Linked DNA regions of Lytechinus pictus. The protein of the gene in region 1 interacts with the protein of each later gene in a pairwise test. Links are inferred from orthologs where the notes say so. Each region holds a gene or a part of one and is shown in the gene's direction. Other genes may lie near its edges.

The links.
Region 2: the proteins of polyubiquitin-C (region 1) and transcription factor Jun-like interact in a two-hybrid assay, tested with the Homo sapiens proteins (2 studies listed by BioGRID and IntAct, with this or other methods). The link is inferred for Lytechinus pictus from reciprocal best matches to the Homo sapiens genes UBC and JUN.

What each region holds. Positions count from the first base shown.
Region 1 is NC_087249.1:18,215,891-18,222,861, forward strand, and holds the start of polyubiquitin-C, read left to right. Parts: upstream 1-3,833; 5' UTR 3,834-4,169; intron 4,170-6,971.
Region 2 is NC_087255.1:21,057,206-21,065,251, reverse strand, and holds transcription factor Jun-like, read left to right. Parts: upstream 1-4,983; 5' UTR 4,984-5,279; coding exon 5,280-6,215; 3' UTR 6,216-8,043; downstream 8,044-8,046. UniProt on the Homo sapiens protein: Transcription factor that recognizes and binds to the AP-1 consensus motif 5'-TGA[GC]TCA-3'.

The sequences.
Region 1 (6,971 bases):
CAAAATGCAGTATTATTCTTACCCATAGATCAGGCTGACACAGTAAAGTAGCAAAATACACTTGACATGCTCAGATGCTGCCTAATCTTCATATGTGTGCTATTTCTTTCATTCATCTCTTGTATTATATGTACTGTAGGTAGGACTTTATATATATGGGTTATGGGCAGGGAGCGTTAAGACTAAAAACATTTGTATCATTCTAAGTGTTTGTCTAGTATGTAGTAGAGTTTTAGATACATAAATATTCAATCTTGAGAAGAAAAAAAGGTGTATCACCACGAATGATGATTAATCTTGTGTAAAGAGTGAATGTATTTTTAAAACTAATATGCATGTACAGGTATTATTAATATGTGTTTTTGTTTTCATTTATCTAACTTATCAGCAGAGAAGATTTATCAGGCATTGTTTCCACTGGATGTTTCCGTCTGTACTTTCTGTATTCCAAATGTGCCTTCAATGAACAATAGTTATTGGAATACGATGATCAAGCAATAATCTACACAGTTTTGTGAGAAACCGTCTCCTATGGTTTTCCAGCAAAGTAAATTTCAAATTTTCAAATGATGAATGCTAACTATTAAAAGTAATGGCAATACCAGCTGAATTTTCAAACGTGTAGACGTTCTTGTAGGTTCCAGTTCAATCCAAGTCCATTCCATCGACTTGCCCAAACATTCCGCATTTTGATACATGAAATTCAGGAGTGAGGTATCGAAACATTCATCAACTATGCAAAACATTCTATACTTTTATAATGATATGGATATTATGTACTTGATTTTATATCTATATTGGTGTGGGTTTAATATACATAAATATGTAAAAATACTTTTATTTGAATATTGAACTGTAAGTCTACAATGGATGTTACCAAGGGGGTCTTGTACTAGGGCATTATGATTATGTAAATCAAAATTGTTTTTAAAAGATGTCACTCTACTTTGTAGTTTGTACAACTGCAAAAAGATTTTAAAGATGTATTCTCTTACATGGAATAGCAGATCAATTATGTATGACAATGTAAGTACATAAATGCTAGAATACAAAGTGTATTTTTATCACTGTACATTTTTAAAAGGTGCTAGCTAGTTTGTGAATTATCAAAGAATGGAATTACATGTAGTTTTCTATTCTTGATTCATATTGTTACACACAGATTCAGATTTATCTAGTTCTAGTGATGAAGAAGAATGGAAATTGTGCATTTATGGTTTAAAATCGTTGAGATTTAGCTCTGATAAGCAGATGACCTTTAACAATATTGTGAAAGATTGTTGACTGTTGTACTTCAGACTCGCAAATTGATTATATTCGTTTTAACAGGCTCACATACAAAGGTGTACATGTAAATTGCGTGGATGAATAATAAATGAAACCATTTTATGACTTAAAGATTTTGTGTTTTGTATTATATTTGCTGTTGTTAATTAATTCACTTTGATATTATCCACCATGACCCCCACCCCCAGGCAGAAGGGCCATAAAATGTTCAAATTACAGCCCCCTCCACCCCCTCCCCCCATGCCTTAATTCCCGCGAAATGAAATAATTTTTTAAGCATTTGATAGTGATATCATCGAGGAGAAAAAAACATATCACTTAATTCATAACATAGTATGGATAAGTAGCATTCATCAACAACATCAATATGCTAATTAGTTTTTTATATGAAAATATACTAGACTTCGGACCTGACATTGACAGATATTCAAATTTATGGATTAATTTTTTTTTTAATACAGAAAAGAAGTATCCTATAAACTTGTGAGAAAAAAAATTATTCGAATTCCAATTTGTATACATATATTGTTATGTCTGGAAATCATCCATTAAAGTATATTGTGGTGTCAAAAAAGTTTTCATGAAAATACTAGAATGTGTTGTGGAGAGAGCCATCTTCCTTGAATGCTTTTAGAATTCTTGTATTCAAATTGTTGCTTCATAATGAATTTATACCTCTGATTAAATTTCTTTGATGAAGATCCTTGAATTTTCTCTAGGTCAAGGGGTTAAATCGTTCTTGCTCCTCACAATATTTATCCCCTTTTTTGCAGGTGTTGGGGCGAATAATCCTGATATATTGTCCAATAACTAAAAAAAAGGGCATTGTACAATCGCTTTGTATTTTTATTTGTATAATTATTATAAAAAGTGTATTGTACAATCACTTTATATCTATCGTGTAATTATTATAGTATCAAATCTGACTGCATGCATGATTCGATGCCAAAAGTAGATTAATGCCTCCTTGTGCCCACGTGTCTGTTGGCAACTAGAACAGTACTGGTCGGGGCACCTAAAATACACTGACAAGCAATCATCCCAAAAAATATAACAAAACACTATACAATAACAGGACAGTCATTTTCCTGACATCAAAAACAAGTTTTTGTTGAAGGGACAGTGTGCACGTTATAAGACAATGCTTTCAAAAACTCATTAAAAATGTTGAGCCCGCCGTTTATTCTTTTTTAATTCACGAAATACACTGCAAGTACCATAATACTACACGGGATACTACATAACGATTGACTACCGTGACAATCAATCGAACAATCTAAATTCCCACTTTGCAGAGTCACTTTTGTGATCCCCTTGTATCTTCAACAAGATATAGATATATGGATAGCATATATGCATGGGTGTCGATCGGGGGGGGGGGGGGGCTGGGGATATCCCCCAATGCAGGTTGGGGATGACCTACGTCGAATCTCATCCCACAGTAATTTACGGTGACTGATGAATCATATGGCAAATATGATAATGATGAGGAGATCATACTCGTGATGACCATCAATTTGTTTTCTCTCTAAATTTTCTTATGTTTGTATATGAAACCCTTCATTTCAGACGTGAGCTAGGCTTGGGGGCCATGGACCCCAAAAAAGTTTCCCGATCGACCGAAAAAGAAAAGAAAGAAAAGGAAAAGAAACAGCTAGGTGATGGTCTATTTGTAGATACCATGTCAATGTCTATCATAAAATTATTATTTTTTAATAAAAAAGGGTCAAAATTTTTGCTTGCTCACTTTGGTCACATGCATCTTTTTACAAGTTTGGCCCTTCATGGCCCCCTAAAAATGTAAGCCACATACCCCTCGCCCCCCCCCCCCCCCCCAACCAAAAAAAATCTCTCACAGAGAACAAAAGTAACATAATATGAACACCGATCGACACCCATATTAGATAGATAGATAGATAGATAGATATATAAATATAGACAGACATACGACAGATAGACAGACGACAGATAGATAGATAGATAAATTTTGGCCTCATTTTTACGCTACTAAATAGCGGCAATAGTAAATATTCAAAGAGGTATTTTCTTTTTAGTTTATTTTAATTACCAACTATTTAAGGTATCGACCAAGGCCGATTCACTCCAAAAGAATTTTTTTTAAAGAAAATTGATTTGAAAAGGGATGGCTCCTAATATTTTTATATATCATTATCAGATTCATGCGTCTGCCAATTATAACTTATACTCCCAACTCCATATGCTCAGATTGTTCTTTGTCAATAGCTTCTCTTTGGCAAAGATCAGTGCTTGGTAAATATAAATATATAGGCCTATATATTCTTTTAACCTCCATCCTAAACACATGTGTTGTGTCGTCTTGTGTTGTCCTTTTTCTTTTTGTTTTTTACTTAGAAATGGTAATACGATTATGTTTTTTTTTCCCTATGTAAATATGTTTGATTCTTTCAATAAAAAAAACACAAACTGAAAAAAAAACTAAACAGCGAAAAAGGCGTAAATATTTTTTATGAACTCTGTTGAACGGAAACAACAACAACACAGTCGCTAATATACCTCCCGCGACCACTCGTTCAGGTTATGCCCGCGACCAGTGATCATTCCAGAAAATGTTTTGGGCCGAAATTGCATAATTCCGAGATTGCGAGTCATCGATCGTCTGAAATATCTGGCGCGGGTTAATATGACGTCATGTGCCATAGATACACGATCTATCTTTATTACCCAATAGAAAAGGGTGAAATAGTCCATGTGACACAGACTGACCAATCGCAAGTCAACACAAAGCACCATATAAAATACACACAAGCGTCGCAGCGTCAATATACTAGCTGAGACTTCCGCAGATACTTCTCACTCCGAAAAGAACTTGTCAATTTTTCCAGAAAAACTCTGATTTAAAAGTAAGTAGACGAGATTTTCACATTATATTAAGGCAGTTATTTCAATTAAGGTGCAGTTTGTAAATGCTTGATTTTAAAAGGGCATTTTTTAAAGAAGAACAAGAACATAAGCAAATTGTCAACGACCACATCATCGTGACGATCGTCATTCGTGTGCCATTTTTTTTTTAAATCAGACAAATGTACTAAGTAATGCATGTTTGGCTTTCCAAATCCAAGGCAATAGGGAACACTAACACTTTTAACAGCATGAACAAAGTCACAATTTTGTTTCAATTTGAAGTCCAATACTAAAGAAATCATTGAAACTGTAGGGTGGATATATTATTATTGCGTCATGCAAGTGTGGCATTATTTATTATGGTAGGATGGGGGATCGGGTGTCCGGACACTTTATATTTTTGAAGCCTTCTTTTTTGTCTTAAGATAACACTAAAAATATGAATTCAATAGTTGTAATCATCTTATATTATGTTCTCTATAATATTTCCTTACATTTTGTACTAAAAATTGATGACACTTCGCTTGTAATTTTTTCCAAATGACTTTCTAAAATTGATCGTCCGGACACACAACCTGTCCGGACACACAACAACTGATCGTTCCTGGACTGGAGTGTGGTGTGGCTGTGGCCTGTGGCCAGTGTGGGTATGATCAATTGCAATTGTGAGGTTGTGAAACGGGGGATTTTCCTGATCGCTGAATTAATATTAATAATGAAATCAGAATAGCAATTGCCATGCCCATTTCTGGTCCATGGATTGCGTGAATACAATGGACAATGTCATTCAATTTTTGTCTGGGCTGCCATGATGAATATGAAAGAATGTTACATGCCTCTTCTCATTCTTCCTGACAAACAGTAGAGGCGCACGGCCAATATGGGAGACTCTCTCCAATAGGGGAGACAATCTCCCACATTGGAGACTTGCTTTGCAAAAGGACAAAAGAAACAACACCAACAAAAACATGATTTTTTCCACCCAAAATTTTGTCTCACTGAGGTCAGAAGCCCATTTGTTTTGTGTGTGATTGACAACAAAAATCCTTATCAAAACAAAAGTAGACGGTGAAAAGGGGTAATTTTTCATGAGGAATCTGCTTATCACATTTTTATTTGCCGCCAAGGTAATCCTTTTGCAGCAAATGTAAACAAAGGAAATTGATCTCCAAAACTGGAGACTGTCTCTGAAATTGGATACCCAAATTCTTTACAAAAGTCTCTGATATTGGAGATAATCTCCCACATTGGAGACAGTCTCCAATATTGGCCGTGCGCCTCTACTGACAAAAATTTATTGTCATTTCGCAACAGCCAACACTTCAGACTCAGAGCTCAGTTCAGACTTCATAATCATATTTCGCAACAGCCAACAATACACTTCAGAGCTCAGTTCAGACATATGATTATGAGCTCTGAAGTGTTGGCTTTTGCAAAATGACAATACATTATTGTCGGGAAGAATGAGGCATGTAGTATGGTTGGAACTAGGCCTTCCCCTTATCGACCACCTAATCTTCTAAGACTAAGTAGGCACTTCAGGTGAAAATTAGGAAAGGCTGTTCCAGCATATTTTATAGGCTCACAATGAGGCTCAATATCTACGATTCACAAAACTGTTTGAATTTTCAAATTCCGATATCTAGAAGTCAAGTTATTGTCATCTTTGTGATGAAAAAATGGGGCTTTTTGTGGACAAAAGAAGATTGCGAAATCTTATTAATATTATTCTCTTTGTTTTGGGCACGGCACATTTATAATACATAGCTTATGGGGAATTGTACAAGCTTTTTATTTAAATCTTAAAGTACTCAGATTGATTTGACATACATGTATTGGCATATGATTTCTTTGGTTCAAGGGCAACTACCCCTGGACGATAACCCCCCACCCCCACCCCCGGACAATTCCACTCCCCCACCCTGGACAATTACCCCCCCCCCCCCCCCCCCCGGACAACTACACTGTACTCTGTAGTCTGTACCCCTATCCAAAAATCTACACCTAACCTAACCCTATTTCGGGGGTAATTGCCCTGTGGTACTGGTAGGTTTGTGCACAGGGTAAACATGACTTGATATTGATTTTCTTTGCTTGAACATTAGAAATTAAGTTTTCAATTAATATTATTTGTAATCAAAGAAAGAGAATTAAAATAATAATCTTAGGATTTCTATCAAAAAATAAAAACAGATCGATTTCAATTGTCTATTATCTCATTATTGTCTTGTTATTGTGGTCTCAATAAAATTGTTGATATTATTATTTTCTCATCGTTTTATTATTGTCCCAATTATTATAATTATAATAATTATTATCATGATAATTATTTTTGTTTTATTAATATTATTTTCTAAATAATTATTACAATTATAATTACTATCATTATAGTAATTATTGTTATATTTTTTTCATAATAATTATTATTGAAATAATAATTATTATTGTCTCAATAATTATATCATATTGACCCAAATTTTGGTCATTCTACTGTGAGAATTTTGCTTACCCAGTTCGGGCAAGTAGTTTTGGTCTTTACTTCAAAACACTTGCCCAACTCAAACATTTACTTGCCCCGGGCAAGTGCTTATGTAGCACCCTTGCTAACGTTACTCCTTGACCTGAATTGCAGGCATCGGAAACGGCTGTATTTCAGCTTCGATCTTGATGTCATAGTTAAAATTCTCAGGAGATCGAACTGAGCGTGGTGCGTGTTTGGCCATTGCCATGTAGTTTTTATATGGACTGAAGTTAACGACTAAAAGATCTTCCCATGGCAGCTCGACTGCATTCGCAAGATT
Region 2 (8,046 bases), on another chromosome or scaffold:
AGTAGCACCATCGATCCATGAGGACTCACCATACACTCATTCTCACTCTGTATCACCTTCATATTCAGTGTACATGGTAACCATGGAAACGGTGAGGTAGAAGAAATGTACATGTAGTTCAACAGGTAGCACTGGCAGGGGTGGTAGAAGTCGGAATGCAGCTGACCTGTAATTCGGTGGAACAAGCTCGCAGTGTTTTTATGCACTCTTGAATGACTTTGCTTGAAATTGAATGTGTTTCACCTATTCCATGCAAATGACTAGTCTGTAGACACAGACCCTTGGTTTTTGCAATCCGCATAGTGCATTATGCAGAGCCTGAAGCAGTGAGACTAGATTCACTATGTACTATGGCTGAGAGCCTTTGGCGTATAGTCTTCACTCAAGACCTGTTATTGGTTAAAGTGTCAAATATGAGTCTTCGCTTGCAGACTAGCAAATAACAGAGCATATACATATAACATGGTCTTCTTTCAATAAATTTTGTTTTAAATATGCAGATAAAATCATAATTGGTCTTTTTATATTTTGAAAAAAAAAATGTGGATCTATTAATATGAATTAATCCATCAGTCAAGGAATAAATCAATGAATATAAATAAGGGGATTCTCAGATCAGTGAGTTTTACATGCTACAAAACAACACATTGACCTAATGAATGTAAAAGGGTACTCAAAATTGGAAGTAATTATTATATCTAAATAAATAGAGCAAAACTCATTGAGCAAAATCTGAAATCAAATAACAAATTTATCAATATCTTAAAGTTTAGAGATATTTTGTGGAAGCAATTACTAAATGCCAGATAATATACAATATGAAGGCAGATTATGTCATGTTCCCACTTTCCTTATTTGACGAGTACTACATGAAATCATAATTATTTCATATACATGTATATCTATCTCCCTTGTAACAAAATAAGTTGGATAAATTATTATCTTACACCTTAAAGGACAAGTCCACCCCAACAAAAAGTTGATTAAAATAAAAAGAGAAAAATCCAACAAGCATGACATTGAAAATTTCATCAAAATCGGATGTAAATCAAGAAAGTTATGACATTTTAAAGTTTCGTTTAATTTCACAAAACAGTTATATGCACATCCTGGTCGTATGCAAATGAGGAGACAGATGACGCCATCCACTCACTATTTCTTTTGTATCTTATTATATGAAATATGAAATATTCTAATTTTCTCCTCATTGTCAAGTGAAACAATGATTATTTCTCCCTGAACACATGGAATTAGCATTGCTTAATACTATGTGGTTCAGTCAAGTTGGTCCTTTTTGTCAAATTTGTAAAAAATGAAATATTGTATGATTCAAACAATAAATAAACAAAAGAAATAGTGAGTGATGGGCATCATCGACTGACTCATTTGCATGTCACTAAGTTGTGCATATCACTGTTTTGTGAAAAATAAGCGAAACTTTAAAATGCCATAACTTTCTTATTTTCCATCCGATTTTGATGAAATTTTCAGTGTTATGCTATTCTGTATTCATTCAAATCAACATTTTTCTGGGGTGGACTTGACCTTTAAATCAATTGTCAATCCATTTTTTTTTCTTGGTAGACAAAATTTGAATAGATGTTATTAATAAAATAAAATACCAAAGAATAAGTTGTGATAACAGTGTAAGCAGTTCTTATGAAATCCATTAGGATAAAAACTCCCTTCTTCCCAGAATGGAAAAAATAGGCACAATGAAATAACAACCCAAAATAGCACTGCACCAATAAACCCTTCATTCACTATTGTCAATAAGTAAGCTGCTTGTCTTACATCTAACAAAATGAATAACAGTACAGATCTATAAATCTAACCACAATTGATTAAACAGTGTTCAAGGCAGACAGAATTTTGCAGCAAACAACTTTCTTTTTTCAAAGTGTTGAAGAAACCGGATGAAAAACATGTCTAGTACGGTGTAAACAGGCATGAGCAATAGCTGAAGAACAATGTAGTCTTAACCTTTAGAAACAAGGACAACTAGAGATTTGAAGCCCATCTTAAAGGAAGTAAGCACAGGTGTTGTTTGGATTTACTACAGACCAAAACAGCATTACAATTGGTTTGTGTAGATCTGCTTGCCACATACCATTAAAGTGACATCTTTAATCTTCATTTAAACCCACTCCATAGTACTGGATATTCGCTTCAGTGTACTCAAGACACCAAAATGGCAGTATCCGGTGGTCAACCCTAGTTTTATTGTACCCTAAAAAATGATTTAAGGTCTATGGCATTTTTTTATCATCTATAAATAGAACACAGATATGACATACTGTACGGACCTTGTTACTTCCAAAAGCTAAATCTTACATCATAGTCTAAGACTAAGTTAGAGATAAAGTTGAAAAGATTTAGTTCAAACTTGTTTTATTTTAGTATTTGGACTAGAAATTAGGCTAGATCTAGGTCTTAGACAGGAATAGAAGTCTGCTATCATTTCTGGGGATTTTTTATTCAACTAGACTTTAGAGTTAATAAACTTTAATTAATTTATCAACAATCCCTAGAAAACAGTATACTTATATCTTATCATATCATACCTTATTGTTACTTTAGTGTAGGGTCTAATGTTAGGCCAGGGCCAAGCCCTAGCCAGGTCATGTCTAAAGGCCACCGCACACCTTACGACCCGACTGGTCTGCGACTGGCTTGCGACTGAGTGAGGGGAGATGTGATGTCACAGCTCTTGTCAGCTTGATAGTTGCAGACCGGTCAGAGACAAGTCGCAAGGATAATCGGAAGGATTTGACATGCCGAATCCTTACGACTGGATCGCAAGCTCAATCCAACTTCCAGCCAATCAGACAGCAGAGTTGCACGACGCGTATATGATATACAACGCGCATATGCAGTAGTAAGCGCATTTTCTTAGTTGCTATGGCAAAAAGCGCATGCGTGAGTCGCAGACAGCATGGTAGTCGGCTTGGTAGTTGGATCGGATCGCAAGGTGTGCGGTGTCGAGGCTTATGGCTACCTTGCGATTCATATCCCCTCACTCAGTCGCAAGCCAGTCGCAGACCAATCGGGTCGTAAGGTGTGCGGTGGCCTTAATAAATAAGGTTAGGCTTAAACTAGGCCAAACTTAGTCTAAATTCTAGACCAATAGCTTTGCCGTTTTGAGTCTCTGTTCGTCAGTGTTGCACTTGGCTATGTCTTGTTTCACCGTCTCCTCCAATTTCATCAGTCCATGTGTAGACTGACACTGCCACCGTCACTCACTCAAACGGAGGAGAAATTTCAAAATGTAAAAAAATGCTTTATATGTTTAAAACTCCACCAGACAGATTTCAGCTCTCTAGATCTAGACCACAAGCTTCGGTCTCTGAGTTCCACTAGTTGGCTCCACTCACCAATTAGATCTAGATCTAGTACAAGTTTTTTTTTTAAATCCTTGAAACAGATGGCTGTCTAGCCTATCGTTAGGTCTAGATCTAGGCAGAAGGGCTAGGCTATGATGGCACTAGATTTGTGCTGTAGACATGTGTATAAAAAAAGTCAATGGGTTAGTTGGCCTCAAATTTTCTTTCTATATTTTGAGTGAACAATGTATCGACATCTTAACATTTTCTGGCAGCCAAGTTCATTATCTATCAATGTGACACGTTTCACAGCTCCTCACAGAGGTTCAAACAGTCTAGGTCAACATAAAGACTTTAAAATGCCTATTTTTAGCCACTATCCCACACAGTATAGCTTATAGGAATGGATCATTATGCTACATGCATTTCCAGGCACATATTTTTATTGAGTATTTAAGCCTTGTTTTTCACTATTTAGGAAATTTTGAGGTAAGTTTTGAGCAATGTCTCTGATAATAATGCTAATAATAATATTACGGTAGGCCTAGACTCTTAAATCTAGCCACTAATGCTTTTTAGTAGAAATGCTGTTTCTTTTTTTTGTTCTACCTACCTGGGCTAGGTTATTATTTTTTTTTATTTAGGCCTAACGTTAGATCTATAGGTTACAAAACTTTATTTTCAATCATGCATGGCCATGGGTAAAAAAAAAAAATTTAGACCCTATTTTTATTTGCATTTATCTTTGAATCGTCCCAAAAGACAGTCACTGCCTCTAAAAACTTTTAAGCCTAGGTCTAACGTTAGATCTTCATTTGGGCAAATGAAACAGGAGAGACATGTACATCGAGATTTATACTAGATAGGCCTAGACTGCATAAATAATGGGAAAATCCATGTCCATGACATGTCCATGAATGTGACCATGCCATGGCATGCCCACCACCTCAACGTGTTCGAAATAGCATTGCAGTTGCACGTGTTTTAACTAAGAGTAAGATTTTATGAACTAAAACTTTAAAGTAAAAGTGAGTTAGGCCGAGCAATGCCAATGCCAACACTAACTGAAACAGCAAATACTATTACTAGCACAAACATCCACTTATTTCCATCTTGAAACGTTAGTGATAACTTAAGAGTAACTTACAAGCAACATACAAAATTTAGTCTCACCTTTTTACCACCTGATTGATCTCGTTCACTTCCACAACAATACCATATAAGGAAAAAGGGGTTGTTACTTGTGACGTAGCGAAATCAAGGTTTATGCATGTTTTGTTATGGAAATGAAGGACCTCTTCCGGCGAGGTTGGTTCTATTACCCGGAAAAAGATTGTGACGTGTAATTGGATGCGTCCACATCGTTACGGGTAAACTCAAACTAAAAACAATAGAATATCACCATTTAGATAATATTTCATCTAAAGTTCTTCGAGATAAAAGGTATCAAAATAAGAAGATATATTATTCAATAACCAAAACTGAATAGGAATTATATTTGTCTCTTTAATTTATAACGTGATTATATCATGATACGCTTGATATGTACACTGGAATATATCATCCCTACTATAAAAGTGGAGTCGTCGAAGGGGTTACCGTTTACTTCCAGAGCACTGCACGTGCTTTGATTGACATTTGGGATCGACCAATCAGATCGCAAGATGACATTGCCAAACACACGTCTTACATCATCGCCGACCAATCGTTATTCGAGAATCTGATGTCACTGCTCTTCCGTCTATTTTGGGAATCCTTAGTCAGTGTATATATAGTGAGTCAGCGTTGGTATCGGAAATTCATGCTACGATCATTTCATTTTGCACTGTGAAGAGACAGAGAATTCTCTCAATCCTTTACCTGGCCAACTACAGGATCTCCCTCTTTGCCACATCAATTCGAGACCTGTGACTCAGACTTGTAGCTCATAGCAAGAGAAAGCTCATAACTGTTTGTATGTCAGCCGAAAACGGTCGCAAAAAGATGGAGACTCAGTTCTACGAAGATGCACATAACCCGTGGCTGAGCAAGAAGAAATGCATGACTCTGGATTTGGACACGGGCAAGCGCAAACTTACGGCTGCTGTGCTGTCGACTCCAGACGTTCAGATGCTCAAACTCGCTTCTCCTGAACTCGAAAAAATGATTATTTCTCAGCAAGGCAATATTTGTACTACACCAACGCCTACTCAATTTATCTGCCCGAAAAACGTTACCGAAGAGCAAGCCGCCTTCGCCCAGGGTTTCGTCGAGGCGCTCCAGAGCCTTCACCAACGGAATGATTCGGGGGACTCCGAGTCCGTGGTGAGCGATGATGAATCGTCGGTTGACCAGCTGGACCTAAGTGATCCAATAACAACCTACCAGCAGCAGCAGGTCCTCAACCCCCTTACCACCATCTCTAGTATGACCACAGCTGCGACATCGATTTACAACCCTGCAATGCCTACGACGACTACACTGCCTGGATCAACCGTTAGCCTTTCATCTCGTAATTCTATGCCCACTGACTCTACAGCCATCACATGCGGATGGCAGACGAGTGTTGAACGTATCAAACAAGAACCTGCGTGCGAAGAGCCCCAGACCGTCCCGGTGTACCACGCCACCACTAACCCACCCATGTCCCCCATCGATATGGAAACACAAGAACGCATCAAGGCTGAGAGGAAAAGGCTCAGGAATCGAATTGCCGCCAGTAAATGTCGTAAGCGCAAGCTTGAGCGAATTGCCAGGCTAGAGGATAAAGTGAAGGACCTGAAAACGCAAAATACAGACTTGTCGACTACAGCAACCAAGCTTCGTGAACAAGTTTGTGCTTTGAAACAGAGTGTGATGGAACACGTAAAGAGTGGATGTCAAGTTATGTTGGCACAACAACTGGCTTTTTAATCTGGAATAATTGCAGATGATTTTGAAACACTGACATTCATAACTGAAAATAGTGATCTACAGACTATTGACTTTCGAGGCCTGCGAAACAAACATTACTGTGGATGTGGACTTTGTATTTGCATTCATATTCTTTGAGATCTTAAAATTGACCTAGAAGACATGTATAGACCTATGTAATCTATTTTACTGTGCTGGTTTGCAGTTCCCAATATTATAGTGCTGATACAAAATTACTTTCATTCAGTAGTTCCGACCTGGTTATATCCAAAATTACCAGAAATTTGGGGCAGGATCCCCAGTATTCCTATTTCTGATTTTCAAATATCTCAAGTCCATGATGTTCGTTGTATGGAATTGATAATCTTCTGCATTTATCAATCTCTGTGTAGGTACACTGTACATGTCTAAAAATGCAGAGCAAATTGAGAATTTGTTTATTCCGCCCAGTAAGACGATTTGATAAACCCATCAAACCTAGTAACCTAATGACAATTTGTCTTTTAGCTTGCCCAGTAATTTTGAGTCAGTACTTTGGTAACAGTCATTTGGTGTAAACTCACTTATAATGCCCAAATTTTAATTGTACTTGTCCATGCTTAGTCTTTTGAAGTCCAGTGTAGTAGGATGGTCCTTTATTCAAAAGAAAAAAGGGAAGGAAAGTCAAATAATTTTTTGTGAGAAAATTTTTGAAGGAAACTGCGAGGAATTTATAAAGTTGTACATTGAAATGGTTTATGATGTGAATATTCGTATGAAAATTTTTTGTCTTTCAAAGAAGCATACTGGTTTTGAGAAGTTATTTCGAACAGAATGTATGGTCTTGTGTTATGAATTTCTTGTTTTTCCTCAGATTTTATTTTTTACCAATTGTACATTTGACGAAAGCATTGTGTGCAAGGAAATAATCAGCTTTCTTTATTTTTTGCTTGTAATGACCACTGACCATCAGAAATGGCTGCAAATGCAATGTAGCTCATCTGTGTTATCAATTTAATCTTGCAACAATTTCAACAGCTCACACCATTGGGAGGCCAAATAAAATATTTTGCGACTTGTTTGCACATTACTGCACCAAAGCTTTTAGACTCTTAACTTACAGTAAAAGTTACGCATTTTGATCTACGACACCTGTGGACACCTGTGGTCGGTGTTTTGTTTATTTTTTTGTATTTACCAATGCCGCCATTCTTGCAATACAACTTCAGACAGATAACATTTTGCCTGATGAGTCTATGACATAGGCATAAACAGAAAGGTTGTGATTCATTAATATAAGCAATCCATGTATGAAGGCGAAATATGAAACACTGCTGAAGAATAATCTGTTATTTAATTAAATCATACATGAGTTTCTTTTGACCCATTATTCACATGCTAGATTCTGGAACAACGTTTTCTTTAAAAAAATAACTCTGTTGTATTCTCCACGTGTTGCACAGAATTTGACGTTACAAATTTTTGTATCTTTGCTGGAATATGTTCCAATAAAATGTACTTGCAATAATAGGTTTTCATGTTTTTAACCATTTAAAGTCATGTGAATATTGTGTTCATTTGAAAGCTGGGTAATATTTTCAATTCTTCATTGTATGATACCTACATGTATCTGAATGAATTAGATCTTTTCTTCCAAATCAATTTTGTGTTTTTTCTATAAAGATGCATCAACTAATACATGTGCATTAGTTATGCATTTTACCTTTATTGCCATTATTTCGTTTTTATGAAGTTTGTCATGCAATGTATTGTAAAAACAAAATTATTGAAAGAAAAAAAAGAAACTACAGCTCAGTTTGCTGGATAATAAAAATTATGAAAATTAAAATGT